3 separate regions of the Mus musculus genome follow, and regions 2 and 3 are each reported to be linked to region 1. Evidence: microRNA targets listed by miRTarBase, many of them from high-throughput screens and not tested one by one. Region 1 holds a microRNA gene; each other region holds the end of a gene's coding sequence.

Region 1 (5,075 bases):
GCCATCAGCCATTCCTTGAAGAGTGAAATGTAAGGGTTGGTTTGGTGCTGCTAAATATCCAAATGCTAAATACTGCCCCCATGAGGAGATGCTCATGTACACCTCATGTACAGGATGTTATATAAACCTTGCCCCCCAAGTTATCACCGACTAGGCCTACAGCCTAGGTTCTGCAGAAGAGAGAGGGACAGGATTCAGGCAGGGACCACGAAGAGAGTGAGAAAGAAGGAAGTCACTGTGCTTGGATTGTGAGTGTATGGCTTACAGTCCTTTTATAGACTGACAAGGAAAACATGCCTTAAAGGGGTGTATCAAAAACATCCTAACCTTTGCTAATAGCTGTACCAGTAACTGCTCTCAGAGGCATATGGGGAGCAGGCATGGGCCAGCTAGGGTGGGGAAACATTTTTTTTAAAGATTTATTTATTTATTTATTTTATGTATTTGAGTACACTGTCCCTGTCTTCTGACATACCAGAAGAGGGCATCAGATCCCATTACAGCCACCCTGTGGTTGCTGGGAATTGAATTCAGGACCTCTGCAAGAGCATCCAGTGCTCTTAACCACTGAGCCATCTCTCCAGACCCAGAGGGTGGGAAAATTTAACATGAGGAGTGCTGGTTACATTGCTCAGTCCAAAGTTGAACAGGTTCCTGGGGCAATGGAAACCTCACAGTCATCTTATGACTCTCAACCAAAGAAGTCTTTAGCATGATGTTGAATGACGAAAAAGAACGCCAGTTCACTGAAGCAAGTAAAGAGAGCTGCAGTCTAACCTCCCGAAGTGCGTCTTACCCAAGCACCGAGACATTTAAGAGCTGCATGGAAGGCCAAGTAGCAGGCTATTTCTCCAGGCTAGTACAGGGAGGCAAATGGGGTTGCACCTCCCCTGCCATAGCTACCTGCCCTCCCCTTTCCCAGGATTAGGTTAAAATTCCTAAGTGAATACGAAGTTTATTTCTTTAGAAGTCCCCCAGTCTCACACTATCTCATGAAACCTGGAGATTGCCAGGCTTTGAACATTTTCCTTGATTGAACCAACCCTAGTCCTAACAATCTGCCTTAGAGTCCTCTGCTCGGATTATGTTGGAGGTAACTGTAATCTGCCTCACATGACACGGACCATGTCTTCTGTCATGGCCAGGCAAGTCCTTGCTAAGAGAGGGTCACATAAAGGACCATGTTCCTAAATAAGTTGCCAGGGTCAGGACCAGCCACCTCCACAAGCTCCTAAGCCAATAGTAGATGAAAAGAATATATTGCCCAGAGTGTATAAAAAGTATTTTTAGAGGTGCCAATTTGGATATTATCATGAAAATTAAATCAATATGAAGGTATGCAGTACTGAGTTTTAGACAATGGGAATTAAAGTTGAATGCTAAAAAAACTATACTTCATATATATAAAATTGAATGTTTCCCTAATTGTCTCTCCAGCATTTGCATTTAAATGATTTCATGTTGAGGCTATTCCTAACTTTAAAAATAATTATGTAATTCAATTTCACAAAAAAATGCTGAAGACTCTTAGAAACATTGTTGAAAGTATATGTTTGAAGGGACTTTTAAATCTTAAAGGCACATCAGAATTTGTGCGTGCTGCATTTTGGCATCGGGGCTGCGTTGATGGGGTCGCCTTTTGTCATTACCTTCCCCTGCAGGTTGGCTCCATTTGTGCTGACATTCCAGGCTTGCAATTCTATGTTCAATCTAGTTTTACTTCCTGTCTCACTTTGTGAAATGAATATTTATTAGAGAGTTATATAAAACTATTTTTATCTTATAAATTTTCGCTCATCTTTGTCCGGGAAGACTTCGCGGTTACACAGACTCTCCTGCCAGCCAAGCAGATGCTTAGAGCCATCTAGGCATTTTAATAAATTGTGGAATTTCAGAGTGGAAAACAAGAATACTACTTTGACATATTAGTCCTAGAAAAACAAATTTGAAAAAAAGAAAAAGAAAAGAAAAGCAGACCCCTGAAGGGGGAAGTTACATTTTAAATTACTAAATCACCTGTGTGTAAACCATCAGATTGTCCTGTATTATATTCTGAACACTGGTATTTCTGCTATGAAATGTGGAATGTTGTTCGCTGAGGTCACAGCTGTCCTTCTCCTGGGAATTCCTGTGTAAAAGTGTTAGCATGAGCATTGTCTGTATGTGCATTTGGGAAACGGAAGGAAGAGCCACGCCCAGGCTCACCTGTGTGGCTTCTCATCAGTACCTTGTCCCCAGGGAAGCACAGGTGGCTCATTTAGAAGCAGCCATACACTCAGAGAGTGGCTGCCTATACATGGGCTTTCCTGTGCTCCTCTCCTGTTGCCACGGACCCTCAAGGAAGGAGCCATGCAACTCGGCATGTGACCTCCTTTGCCGGTAGCCACCAACACAAGAATGCCCTCTGTCTCCTTAGGCACTCGCTGATGGATCTGTGACACCTCTTGTGGGGCTGAGCCCTGGAAGCCATGGCTGGGCCTAGGCAATGAAATAAATGATGTTTTACCCAGTGAAGTTAATATGTGTTCAGTGTGTGTCAAGTGAGCACTCGATGTTCTACTAACATGATGTTCTCCCAAATGATAACTGTTACATGTTGGTTTTCAACCAGTACCAACCACAAGTTCTTAATGAACAAGTATTTATATTTTTTATCTCTTCAGCATCTAATGTTCTTCTTCAATATAAATCAGAAATAGGCAATATACTTTATATGTATTTGAAGCAATATAGTCTCAGTAACCAATGAGTAAAACAAAGATGATATACCTGAATCCTCAGGTAGATAATGAGAGCAATCATGTCTGTGCATTCTGTCTATGTCTGTTTCTCTTCCTCCCTGTCTCTTTAGTTTTAAAACCTGTTACTATAGTCTACCCAACAATAATATAGAAATAACAAATATGTTGGCTTAGAGAGATAACTCCATCTATAAATTGCTCACCATGCAAGCATGAGGACTCGAGTTCAGTTCCCAGAACCCACATTCAAAGCATCCACGGCAATATGTGATTGGGAAGTGTGAGGATGCAAAGACAGGTGGGGGCTCAGGCTCAGTGGGAAGGCAGTCTGGCCCAAATGGTAGGCTATAGGGTGAATGGGAGAACGGGTCTCAAAGAGTAATGTGAAGAGTGATTAAGGAAGACTCCTTACATCTGTGTCTGGCTCCTACATGCACATGAGTCTGTACACACATGAACACGTGTGCTCACAAAACACATGAGAGAAGTTACTATGCTCACAAATACATTTCATCAATAAAAAGAAATTTGAGTGATCCCAGTGAACTATTAGATGTGTTTAGTATCAAAAGTATCATCATCAGTCAGAAATCTTAATTAAAATCGATTTTGAAGCATAATATTGAAATTTCACTTTTATATCAGAGTATTGGGTTTTTCTTTCAAATTTATCATCAAAATTAAATGTGAAAAAAAAAGCTACAATATATGGACATATTAAGCAGAAACAGTAGAAAGCCATTAGCACCATGCCACATAACTAAGTGGCTTCTATGTCATCCTGAAACTTTCAAGGACTCTGGGAATGTCAACATGGATGCTAAAAATATTCTATGCCCCTTCTTGCCACATATGTCCTTCCCTTTATTTAAAAAGATAGAAATGAACAGCTTGCACACATCATTGGGAAAGGCCAGCAAGAACAACCAAGGAAGTTCCAAAGCATGAATGAGCGCATCATGCTTTGGCTGGGATGGCTCAGGTGCATGTCTTAATGTGTTCTTAGACAATCGTCACAATTTGTGCTAATTCATAAGTCTGATTTTCCAATTGGAATCCAAGAGAACACGAAATGTCTTGTTCTGTGTGTGAGTATTCTCTGAAACATGTTTATTAAGATTAGCTCCTAATTATCGTCAATGAAAGGTTTCTTTGCTTTCCTGGTGTCTCAGGAAGCCTTGGTGAGGGCTAATCTCTGAGTGAGGGGTGGGCCCGGGTTCAGTGTCTTGTGCTCAGTGTCTATGCTCTCTTCCTCGGGAGCTGTGCTCTTCCTCCTCCACATTAGCTCGCATCTCATCTGAACCATTGTCCTCTAACCCTACTTTTGATAGCTTTGCAGTGACTCTGCCTTCCTATCTGTTCTCACTCCAATCCATTCCATAGGACCACAAATGAACTCTTAAATGTTGGGTCTGTGCTGTGTGTCCCTCCCTGTATCCCTGTGAGTCTATGGTTATTTGTGTGCCACCCCCAGCATCTCTATGCCAGTATTTCTGAGCCAGGTTCAATAATACATTAGTGTTGGATCAGTGTGTTTTGTATTCCCCAACCTTTCTCCTCCCCTGTCCTACCCATCTGACTCCACTTCTTTGTCAGATAGCTTCAACAGATACAGAGGTCATAGGTAGGCTGCACATCATTCATTCTTCTCTAGGTACCACTGAGAACCATGACTACCATTCTTCTCTGGATACCACAATGTTTTTACTCCATCATGCCCAAGAATTTTCTTTCCAGTACGATTTCACTCTGGTTTGAGGACTAGGTAAGGTAGCTGTACTTCCTTCTAGAACTATCCAAATGGCTTTCTTCCTGCTAGTGCCCAGACATCTCTCTGTGCCTCTGTACCCCTGCCTCTACTCCATCATTTAGCAAAATGCCTTGTCAGTAATTTAGTTCCTTGGCTACAGGGCAGAAGGTAGGATTCCTTTCCTCTATTGCCTGAGCCCAACATTGCCAACGACTCTGGCTTTGGCATCCATGTTGTGGGTAAACCTAGGCAGGCACCCATTGGAGGTTAGTGCTTAGAGCTGCCATCCTGGGTGGATCCAGATACCTACAGGGGCTGCTGCCAAAGGCATCCAGTGATTAGAGAAGCTGCTTAGCAGACTTTTTTTTCTGAGGGTACAAAGCTTACTTTACAGGGACTGGCACTTCTTTGGAACACTGCAAAATTATGCATTTCTTTAACTCCTTGGGGCAGGCAAGAAAGAGAAGGAAAGAGAGAAAATTCACACACACACACACACAGACACACACACACACACACACACTGAATGTATAAAAGGCAGAGTCCAATAGCTTCATACACACAAATATACATGCATGAATACA
Region 2 (5,075 bases), not on the chromosome of region 1:
GCAGGCTGTGTGATTGTTGCTTCAGTCTCTATGAGCCCTGCTTAGTTGATTCTGCTGGCCGTGTTCTTTGGTTTCCTCGAACCCTCTGGCTCCTACAGTGCTTCCTCCCCTTCTCTGTGAGGTTCCTGGAGCTCCACTTAGTGTTTGGCCATTGGTGCATCTGCTCCAACAGTTGCTGGATGAAGACTCCAGTGATTGGCCACCCACTTGAGTCATTTTCTCCTACTTCCCACCTTTGGAGTGCTCCATGGATGAGTTCACTTTCCCTCTTGCTAAATTTGCACCCCCCCCCCCCTGTGAACTCTGCTCCAGTGATGCTAGGCCCTCCTCCAGTGAACTGTCCTTCCCTAGGGTGCAGTTGCTCAGAGCATGTGTAAGAAACTCTTCTTATATAGTCTTGGGGCTGCTATGTACGGTATGCAACTTAAACGGAGGCACTATTTCTGACCAGAGTTTTAAAAGAAACAGCAAAAGGCCCAGATCCCTGACCTTCTGATAGACACATATCCTTGGTGGGGTCAAGTTTCAAATGCTAGCTTTCTGCTTAGGAATCCTCACTTTTTACTGATAGTTCAAATCTCTCCCTTCCTTCCTTCCTTTTCTCTTTTCTTTTACTTCTCTTCCTTTTTCTTTAAAAAAAAAAAGATTATATACATATGAGCACACTGTAGTTGTCTTCAGACACACCAGAAGAGTGTATTGGATCCCATTACAGATGATTGTGAGCCACCATGTGGCTGCTGGGAATTGAACTCAGGACTTCTAGAAGGGCATCTTAGTGCTCTAACTGCTGAGCTACCTGCCCAGCCCCCAGTTCTCTTTCTTAAATTAAAAAAAAAAAAAATAAATAAAAAAATAAAAAAATAAAAAAAAAAAAGAGACAGGGTTACCCTGGCTGGCCTGGAATTCCATATTTAGATCAGGCCCTGAACTCACAGACATTCCTCTCTACCTCTGAGCTCCATGTTTTTTGAGATATGGTTTCTCTGTATAGCTCAGGCTTGACTTTCGACAGTCCTTTTATGCCTCAGTCTCCCAAGTGTCTGAATTACAGCTCTTAATGTCAAACATGAATGGCCAATCAGATATCTACTTAGACAACCTCAAACTCACTACGCAGCTCAGGCTGGCAACAAACTCATGATCTTCCTGCCTTAGCGTCCCTATTGCTGGAATTATACATGTACCACACTATGCCCACTCAAACTTACTTGTGATCTGTGTAAAAACTTGTTTCTCTGGAAGTTTTCCTGTGCTTTGTGGCAATGCTATGTGGGCCACAACATTGTTATCTTGTTGACTACATCTACAATCCTGCTTCCAAGTAAAGCCACGTCCGCAGGCACTAAATGTTAAGACTCCAACTTGTCTTTTTTGGGTGACATAATACAATCCGTGAGTAGTAAATTCTTAACCTGTTCCTTGGGATTGTCACTTTATAGGTAGTTATATAAGGCTGCAGAGCAATCAGATTTCGTTTTAAATGATCATTTTTATTTTCTTAATCCAAATACAAGACAAAATCAGTACAAATGCAGAGTAGAGGGTTTTGTGTCTGTGTGTGTGTGTTATCAGGATCTCAGTATAGAACCCAAGTTGGTCTTGAACTCCTGGGTTTGGATAATACTACATCTGACAGACTCCATATGCGTGCCAGCATGCACAACTGGGGACTTAAAATATTTCTTGCAAAAAAAGATGTTATCGAAATAGTGGGTCCATGTAAATTGAGTATTTACAGTGTACCTTCTTCTGAGCCTTAGCATGCTCAAAGTCAAAGACACTGAGCCCTGTCCTTTAGGAGCTTCTGCTCCAGACAGAAGATGACAACAGTGTCAAAGCAATGACGATCAGTGCCTATGACAGATGTGCTCAGGACGACAGACATCACCATCACCTTTAGGACAAAGCACATTAGGAAACTTGGCGGCCAAGCTGATATTTCATTACTAACATGAAATTCAGATTAACTTCTCCTTAAGTCGGGATTAGCAAGATCTCATCTTACTATTACTCTTACCTCCAGCACCCCAGCTCATTTGCCTTGAGTGTAGAGTGCTGCTCACATAACCCGAAGTAACCAGTTCCCACTACCTGTTCTTTAGGAAGCAGGTCAAAGTTCTCCCAAATGGTTTTTCTCCAGGGCCAAAAGTAGTATCAGTAGCAACACTGATAGCTTTTGTGTGACCATTGGTGTGCAAATCTGTTTCTATTAGCCTTTGACCCCTAAAGGGCAATTGTCCACATCTTACTGCTCACAGCACCCACAAGTACACAGGGCACACAGATGGTCAGTAGGTATCAGTAAATCTTAGTCTTTGGGTAGGAAAGGGTAAGTAGAATAGTAGAGATATAAGTATTTTAAAGTCAAACAGACAAATGCAAAGAATTCATTTCCTTCTAAAAATTATTTTGTGGAGATGGAATTTCATAGAAACCAGACTGGGCTCCAACCTGCTATGTAATTGAGGTTGCCTTGAACTCCTGATCACCCCTCCTCTAACTCCCAAGAGCTACTTTACAGAAATGTAGCCATTATATCTGATTTACTGTGAATCCTTTGGCTGGCCTGGAATTCACTATATAGACCAGGCTGATCTTGAACTCATAACAGAGACCCACCTGCCTCTGCCTCCCACTTGCTGGGGTTACAGGAGTACATCACCATACCAGGCGTTCTTCATTTTTTGGTTTTTCAAGACTGGGTTTCTCTGTATAGCACTGGCTGTCCTGGAACTTGTTCTATAGACTAGGTTGGCCTGAGATGTGCCTGCCCCTGCCTTTTAAGTGCTGAGATGAAAGGTGTGCACCACCACTGCCTGGCTACCGGGTTCTTCTTTTCCTACTTTTATTGCAGGAAGCCATTTTCTTCAAGAGTTAGTATCTTCATATGTAAAGAATATGGCAAAACTTGGAAATATTCAAAAAGCAAAGTGATTAGACTATGTGTGGAGTTAAAGTATACACACCAGAACCTGTGTTAGTTCCTACCCATGAGTGCGCAGGCGCGCACACACACACCCACCCCGTCTTGAGGAAGTTCATTAAACAAATGAGGACAAATAAAAGTTTAACAACAAATGAGTTCATTAGTTGAAAAACCCTTGTGCTAAAATAGAAAGCACAAGAGCAATGGTTAGTTTCATTATGAATATATTTATTGAAAATTATAGGGGGCTGGTGAGATGGCTCAGTGGGTAAGAGCACCCGACTGCTCTTCCAAAGGTCCAGAGTTCAGATCCCAGCAACCACATGGTGGCTCACAACCATCCGTAACGAGATCTGACGCCCTCTTCTGGTGTGTCTGAAAACAGCTACAGTGTACTTACATATAATAAATAAATAAAATCTTTAAAAAAAAAAAAGTAAAAAAAAAAAAAAAAAAAGAAAATTATAGAGTGAATTACTTTTCGTAGGAATGTAGAGGTTTCATGCTCTTGAACATAAAGTTCAAAAGTATCTATTTCTACACCTTGCATAGTGAATGCCTGGCCCTGCTATCAAACAGTCTGAAAGATCTGAAGTTTCATGGGCATACAGTGAAACAAAGGATTAAGAAACAGATCATGTTAGAATGTGAAATAACAGATTGGTGAGGTGGCTCAGCGTATGTCTTCCAGAGGACTTGATTTTGGTTCCTCGAAATCACAGCACATGACTCAACAGAATGACCGCAGCTCCAGGGACCTGATGCTTCCTGTCTCCACAGGCACCTGCATCCATATGCACACACGCTCCTATACATATATAGTTTTAAAAAAATTTAAAAAGAACCTGAAATGACTGCAAAGGCTAACATTCATGGCCTGGATCTATCACTAAAAATAGTAAAATTAGGGGGTTTCTAATACTCGGCAGATTATGGGAACTGGAGGAAACTGCACTACATAATAAACTAATAAAATTGAATAGCTTAACTATATTTATTGATATAAATACAACATATCTCACAAGCATCCACTACGACATACGACACAAGAGACAAAGTCAGATGAATTAAATATTAATGCAAAGAGAAAATACAGAAATGCTTTGTAACATAAAGGTCACCTCTATATATTAAATCATCCCACATACTTTGTACAATTTACCTCTAATTGATTAAATATTTGAAATAAGCAAGGCTGGATGTATTCAAGCGTTTATTTCTCAGTGGAAAATGCCCTTTTCATCAGCGGTGGTTGCGCTTTCCCCACATCAAACATCATTTCCAGGGGAGGGTTGTTGAGAGAGCACCAGTCAGGTATGCGGCCCGTCTGGTTATAGTATTCCTTTGAAATGGAGCGGCTCCCAAGAATGTCTTGCAATGCTCCAAAAACAGCCCCTGTGTAGTGACAATAATTTCATAAGCTAAGATGATGCATCAGAAAGTGTAAGCTACGCAAAGAGGAGACTGGTAAATTCAGCAAGCAGACCAAGCTCTCAACTCCAACTCAATGAGATTCACTCTGAGAAACAGGGTGAGCCATGACTCCTCTGTTGAAAATAACCTAAGGACCCTTTGCAGATTTCAGGGAATATGGTATTCCAAAATCTTAAAAAGGTGAAATAACTTGAGGTAGAAGGACTTCCAACTTTAGGAAAGACTCAAGTTTTCTTTGTCACAACTCTGTTACATGTCATTAAATAACATTGCAAAACCCAACAGATATCATTTAAACATTTTAAGATTTTTTTATACCAGAAAAATCTTACAAAGATGCATAAGGCAAGGGCTGGAGAGATGGCTCAGTGGTTAAGAGCACTGACTGCTCTTCCAGAGGTCCTGAGTTCAATTCCTAACAACCACATGGTGGCTCACAACCATCTGTAATGGGATCTGATGCCCTCTTCTGGTGTGTCTGAAGACAGCGACAGTGTACTCATATACATAAAATAAATAAATCTTTTAAAAAATGCACAAGGCAATCTTTATAAAAAAAAATTCAGCTTCTAAATCTAATCTAGGTGAAAAACCAAGATTAACCAAAGTCTACTTCACAAGAAACCGTACTACTATCACTTAAAATTCCTATTGTGTGCTTTCTCTCTACATGCATGATCCTGCCACTGGCTCCATCAGAAAATAAACTATA
Region 3 (5,075 bases), not on the chromosome of region 1:
ACAAATCTTACTATGTCCAGGCTAGCCTGGAATTTCCTATGTAGACCAGGATGACCCTGAACTAAACAGAGATCAGTCTGCCTGAGATTTATTTTATTTGCAGTTATTTGTATGTGTGGGCCTGTGCCTGTGAGTGGGGTGCCCACGGAGGCCAGAGGCATTGGGTCCTGGGGAGCTAGAATTATGGATAGTTGTAAGCCACCTGTATTGGTGCTGGAATTGAATTCAGGTCCTCTGAAGAGTGGTGCGTGCTTTCATCTGCAGAGCCTGGCTCTCAACTTTCAGTTCTCTTGCCTCAATCTCCTGAGTGCTTGAATTACACATATGTACCCTATGTCTAGCTTGTGATTTTAATTTAAATAATCTTTCTAAAGTGTTAAATTATTAATCCTCTTCTACACATGCTTTTTAACCTGTTACTTATTGCAAAGAGAAACAACCCAATCTCTGTAGGTCTGGCTTTGCTCTTTGGGCCTATATACCATAAATTATGGAGCATCTGCTGCTGCCTTTGCAAGTTTTAAAATGTCTTTGGAACATTATCTCATAGGCTGGCTATAAGAAAAAATTATGGAAAAAGTCAACTGCAAGAAAGAAGCGCTTGAGGGAATTTGTGTTCTGCAGCAAGACCCAGAGTAAACTCCTGGATAAAATGACGACATCTTTCTGGAAGAGGCGCAACTGGTACGCTGGCGATCCTTACCAGATGTACCACGATCGAACAAACCTACGAGTATAGTTCAGAGCTATCATAGTTCCCAGCTATGGAATGTGGGTCTTTGTGTACATAATGCCCTTGCAAAGTGAGTATGCGTTAAACTGTAAACTGTACCAGCTGATCGGCAAGCTTAGATTACCACCATTGTGCATTAAACATTCCCAGAGTTGGTCATAGAACTAAAAGTTAAATTTATTGTGCATTATTTCAAAAAACTGGTAATGGCTTTCCTTATTTCTGGAATCTTGGATGAGGAAAAACACGAAAAGACGCTCAACAGTGGGCCTTTGTGTGGAATTGAGATGGTATCCAGGTTTTTGCACATGCTAAACAGACATCTTACATGCCTATTCCCAATATGACACATGCTGTGTTTAAAAAATAAATACCTAGGAACTCAGGAACCTCCTCACTGTCTCCTACCTGTAACTCTCTGCCCCAGCTTTGGGGAGGGCAGGAATTGGATGAAGCAAGAGATGGTGGGACTTTATGCCTTGGTTCTACTGTGAGAGTGTGTGGTGTGTGTGTGTGTGTGTGTGTCTACTCACCATCACTCTCTTTAGTCTTGGCTTTTGTTTATGTAAAGTTTCTATCTCTCAGACTCCCTTCAGCCTGAACCTTTGGGTTCCCTTTAACATTACAACCCTCAACTCTTGTCATCTCTTCTCTCTTAATTGCCAGGGAACTCTCATTGGGCCATCCTGCCTTTTCCTCGTAAGTCTGAATCAATGCCATCATGCAATGTAGAGCTTATCTGTTTGTGGCTAGGACTCCACCCAGGCTCTCTTAGTTGTATCAGTAGGTTCATATGGAGTAAAAAGGTAGGTGTGAGCTGTTTTCCTTAGAGGTACATAGAGTAGCAGGGCACTTTCATCTTGTGTCCTGGGTTCTTTGTATTTATGACAGTTATTACTAATTTTATTGTAACAGGATACTTTTCATAAAAATAAATCACCTTCCCAAATACCCTTCTTGAAATACATAGCTATATAATAAACTCTTTTGCCCAGTTTTTCTTTTCTACTTTACTTTTTATTTTTTACATATGAGTATTTTGTCTGCATGTGTGTATGTGCCCTTGAAGGCCAGAGGAAAGTTGTTGGGTCTACTGGCATTGGAATTACAGATGGTTGTGAGCCACCATGTTGGTGCTGGGAATTGAACCTGGGCCCTCTACAAGAACAGCCAGTTCTTAAATGCTGAACTGTCTCTCCAGGCCTCTGCCCAATTTTTCAAAGGCACTGAATTTTTAAAAAGTTTATCCACTTAAGATTTCTTATTTTCATTGGTAAAGATCAGCTTTTTTTTTCCAGAATTCTCTAAAACGCAGGGTGGAAACTAAGGGAGAAAGTTGCCTGTCATTTAATGAGACTGATGTCAGCTGTGCTCAGAAGGCAACAGTATCATTCATTTTATCTTTTTGTTTGTTTGTTTGTTTGTTTTTTCAAGACAGGGTTTCTCTGGCTGTCCTGGAACTCTTTGTAGACCAGGCTGGCCTCGAACTCAGAAATCAGCCTGCCTCTGCCTCCTGAGTGCTGGGATTAAAGGCGTGGGCCACCACGCCCAGCTAGTATCATTCATTTTAGAAAAGAGTCTGGCCATTCCATCCTGAATGCACATGACTTTGTCTGATCTCAGAAGCTAAGTAGGGTCAGGTCGGGCCTGTTAGTAGTCAGATGGAGAAAGATGCAAAAGTTACACGTGGTTTACAGAGAGTCAGAATTGATGCTGCAGGCCGAGAGAGTGACTCTCTGCTCTCCCATCAGAACCATCTGGAAGCATTTCCAAACAAAGCAGCCTGCCTCATTGAAAATTCTATTAAGGATGAATGACTGTTTGAAATCCATTGATGATAACATGAAGTCCCCCATTTAGTAGAATAAGGCAATCAGTTGGTGTTTTGATGGCAGGTAGGCCAGGACTTTGAGGACCATTCAGTTTTTGTTTTGTTTTGTTTTGTTTTGCTTTGTTTTGTTTTGTTTTGTTTTTCGAGACAGGGTTTCTCTGTGTAGCCCTGGCTGTCCTGGAACTCACTTTGTAGACCAGGCTGGCTTCGAACTCAGAAATCCGCCTGCCTCTGCCTCCCGAGTGCTGGGATTAAAGGCGTGTGCCACCACTGCCCAGCTTAGGTTTGTTTTTTTTTTAATTTTTTTTTAATTTATCCATTTGAAGCCAGTTCTTCATTAAATGGAGAGGGATGTAGAATGTCGTAAAACCCCATATGTGTGTATGTGTGTATGTGTGGGGGCAGGTGATAGAGAGCAGGCGTGTGACTTGAGCACCTCATACACCAATGGCTCTGCCCCGGTGGCTCGTGCTGTGCTCACCCCTGAGGCGGCAGAAGCTGAGTGCTGTGAGGCTTTCGAGGTTCCTCGCCTGCACAGTTCCTGCTTCCCGCACATCTGTGGCACTGTGCTGAAGCTAAGGAGGGAGACACTGCACAGCCTTAGACTTTTCTAGAGTCGACATGGATGGTTCAGATCTCTGTTACATGGCCTCAGTGCCTTGGCTTCCCCTGTAGCCAAGGACAGGCTAGGCAGAGGACAGCGGCCACAGGCTGAAGTAGAAGGGCTGCAGGCACACCTCGGATGGAAAGGGAACTTCTTCATACATACAGCTTTTGTATGTGGGTAGGGGAGCCTTTCATCAAAGCCAAGTTTTTAGTTTGACAACAAAGCAGTTTGCTTTAGAGCCTGCCTAAATGATGTTCAAGTGTATGCATAACTGTTTATTTACATGTAATTTATTGAACACTTGTCATATTTAAGCAAATCTGCAAAACTCTGCTGCACCTCATGCCAACCTTATACAATCTTATACACGAGCTATCATTTATCCCTGATATAAATTGAAGGCACTAAAGCTTATAGAAGCTGAAATAAATTACTCTAAAATATAGCTAATGCATCCCAGATCCCCTGTCTAACTCTTTGGAATCTTGTGTACTTCCTTTGATTTTCTAACAACATAGGATACTCATATCTTGATCAACAAATGACTGTGATCTGACACTAGTAGTAAATACTCTACCCGTTCAAGTCTGAGTTGTGTGACTTTGCTCTCTACCTGTCAACTCTGTTGGTGCATAACCCTGGCTTAGTAAATGAGTAATGAATGAATGGATTTCTAGTCTTTCTTCCCATCTCTTCTTCCTGTTTTCTGCCCTCTGAATCTGCTGCTTTAGTTTCTAGTCTGTGTACTGTAAAAACAAGAGAACCGACCACACTTGAAGGTCTTTGTGACCTCCCAGTGAGGCTAGAGTGAGCCTGCTGCCTTACTGTTGGTTGGTTGGTTTTTGAGATAGAGTCTCAATTAGCCCCAGCTGGCCTCAAATTGATGTGTAACTGAGGATGACCTTGAATTTCTGATCCTCTTGTCCCTACCTCTGGATGCTGGGATGGATGGATGAAAGTCATGTTATATCACATCCTGTTTATGCAGTGCTGGAGACAGAACCCAGTACCTTGTGCATTCTCTATGACACTATGATAGCGATGGCCCTGGTGCCTGGTGCTCATAGTTTCAAGGCAAGGGATGCAGAAGTGCTATGGGCATTTTTACCATCCACAGTGGCTCTGCACATACACAAGCCTGTTCTAACCTGCATAGGCAATCCCCCATCTGCAAGTGAAGAAAAACTCAGGAAGAAAACTGCTACCCAGTTCTGCCCATACAAATAAAACTGCCCACCAGTGAACTGCTCATATCTTCACAGGCTCCCAGTTTCCACTGACCTCTAAAACAGTAAAATAGTGAGACTTTGAGGTTAATATTTGTCTCGTCAGCTGAGTCTGTGAGACATGTATCAGTGATGTTTTTCTTCCGGGCCATCCTATGTAGTAGACATGGGCCAAGTTTCCAGGCCAGAGAGTATAAGCATTTGGTTTCTAATCCTTGTTACCTCCCACGTTTAAAATCTTTAACTCATTTATACTTAGAATTTTTACTTTGGTTTTGTATTTTTGAGATGGAGTCTCATATGTTCCAGGCCTGCCTTGTTCTCTATATAGCTGAAGTTCCCTTGAGGTTCTAATCCCCCTGAATGCTAGCATTGCAGATTGTGTTCCACCATATCTGGTTTATAAGGAACTAGGGGTTGAACCCAGAGCAGTATGCATATTAGTGAAGCGCTCAGCTAACTGAGCTCTATCCCTAGACTCCTTCTACATTATATATATTACATTTTATTTATTTAATTTGGGGGTCGGGGTGGGGGGAGATGTGTGCCACAGTGTGCACATGGAGATGAGAAGACAGTTTGCAAGAATGTCTTCTTTCCTTTGGCCATGGGAGTCCAAGGGTTTAAACTTAAGTCATCAGGCTTGTTAGCAAGTACTTTGTCTTAAGCTTTCTTACC

The links. The annotated mature microRNA mmu-miR-3106-5p reads UGGCUCAUUUAGAAGCAGCCA and lies in region 1 at 2,250-2,270, shown strand. An mRNA with a match to its seed (bases 2 to 7 or 8) in the 3' UTR can be bound and repressed. Matches are read on the target gene's strand: a 7mer-m8 pairs with bases 2 to 8, a 7mer-A1 pairs with bases 2 to 7 and ends in A, and an 8mer does both.
Region 2: the mRNA of Actr10 is a reported target of mmu-miR-3106-5p. Seed matches in the 3' UTR shown: 7mer-A1 at 3,599-3,605, 7mer-A1 at 3,257-3,263 and 7mer-A1 at 3,187-3,193.
Region 3: the mRNA of Mrpl35 is a reported target of mmu-miR-3106-5p. Seed matches in the 3' UTR shown: 7mer-A1 at 1,852-1,858.

Annotation. Positions count from the first base shown.
Region 1 is chr8:16,166,000-16,171,074 of GRCm38, reverse strand. Mir3106 (microRNA 3106) reads left to right here and starts at 2,237; the gene lies at 2,237-2,318. The region is part of intron 23 of Csmd1 (CUB and Sushi multiple domains 1); the gene reads left to right.
Region 2 is chr12:70,961,116-70,966,190 of GRCm38, reverse strand. It overlaps Actr10 (ARP10 actin-related protein 10), which reads right to left. Exons shown (of 13, transcript NM_019785.2): 13 at 1,473-4,324. The coding sequence ends at 4,143. Among named protein-coding and RNA genes, the nearest start is that of n-TKctt17, 5.5 kb to the left of the region's middle.
Region 3 is chr6:71,811,763-71,816,837 of GRCm38, reverse strand. It overlaps Mrpl35 (mitochondrial ribosomal protein L35), which reads left to right. Exons shown (of 4, transcript NM_025430.3): 4 at 551-3,841. The coding sequence ends at 739. Among named protein-coding and RNA genes, the nearest start is that of Mrpl35, 9.5 kb to the left of the region's middle.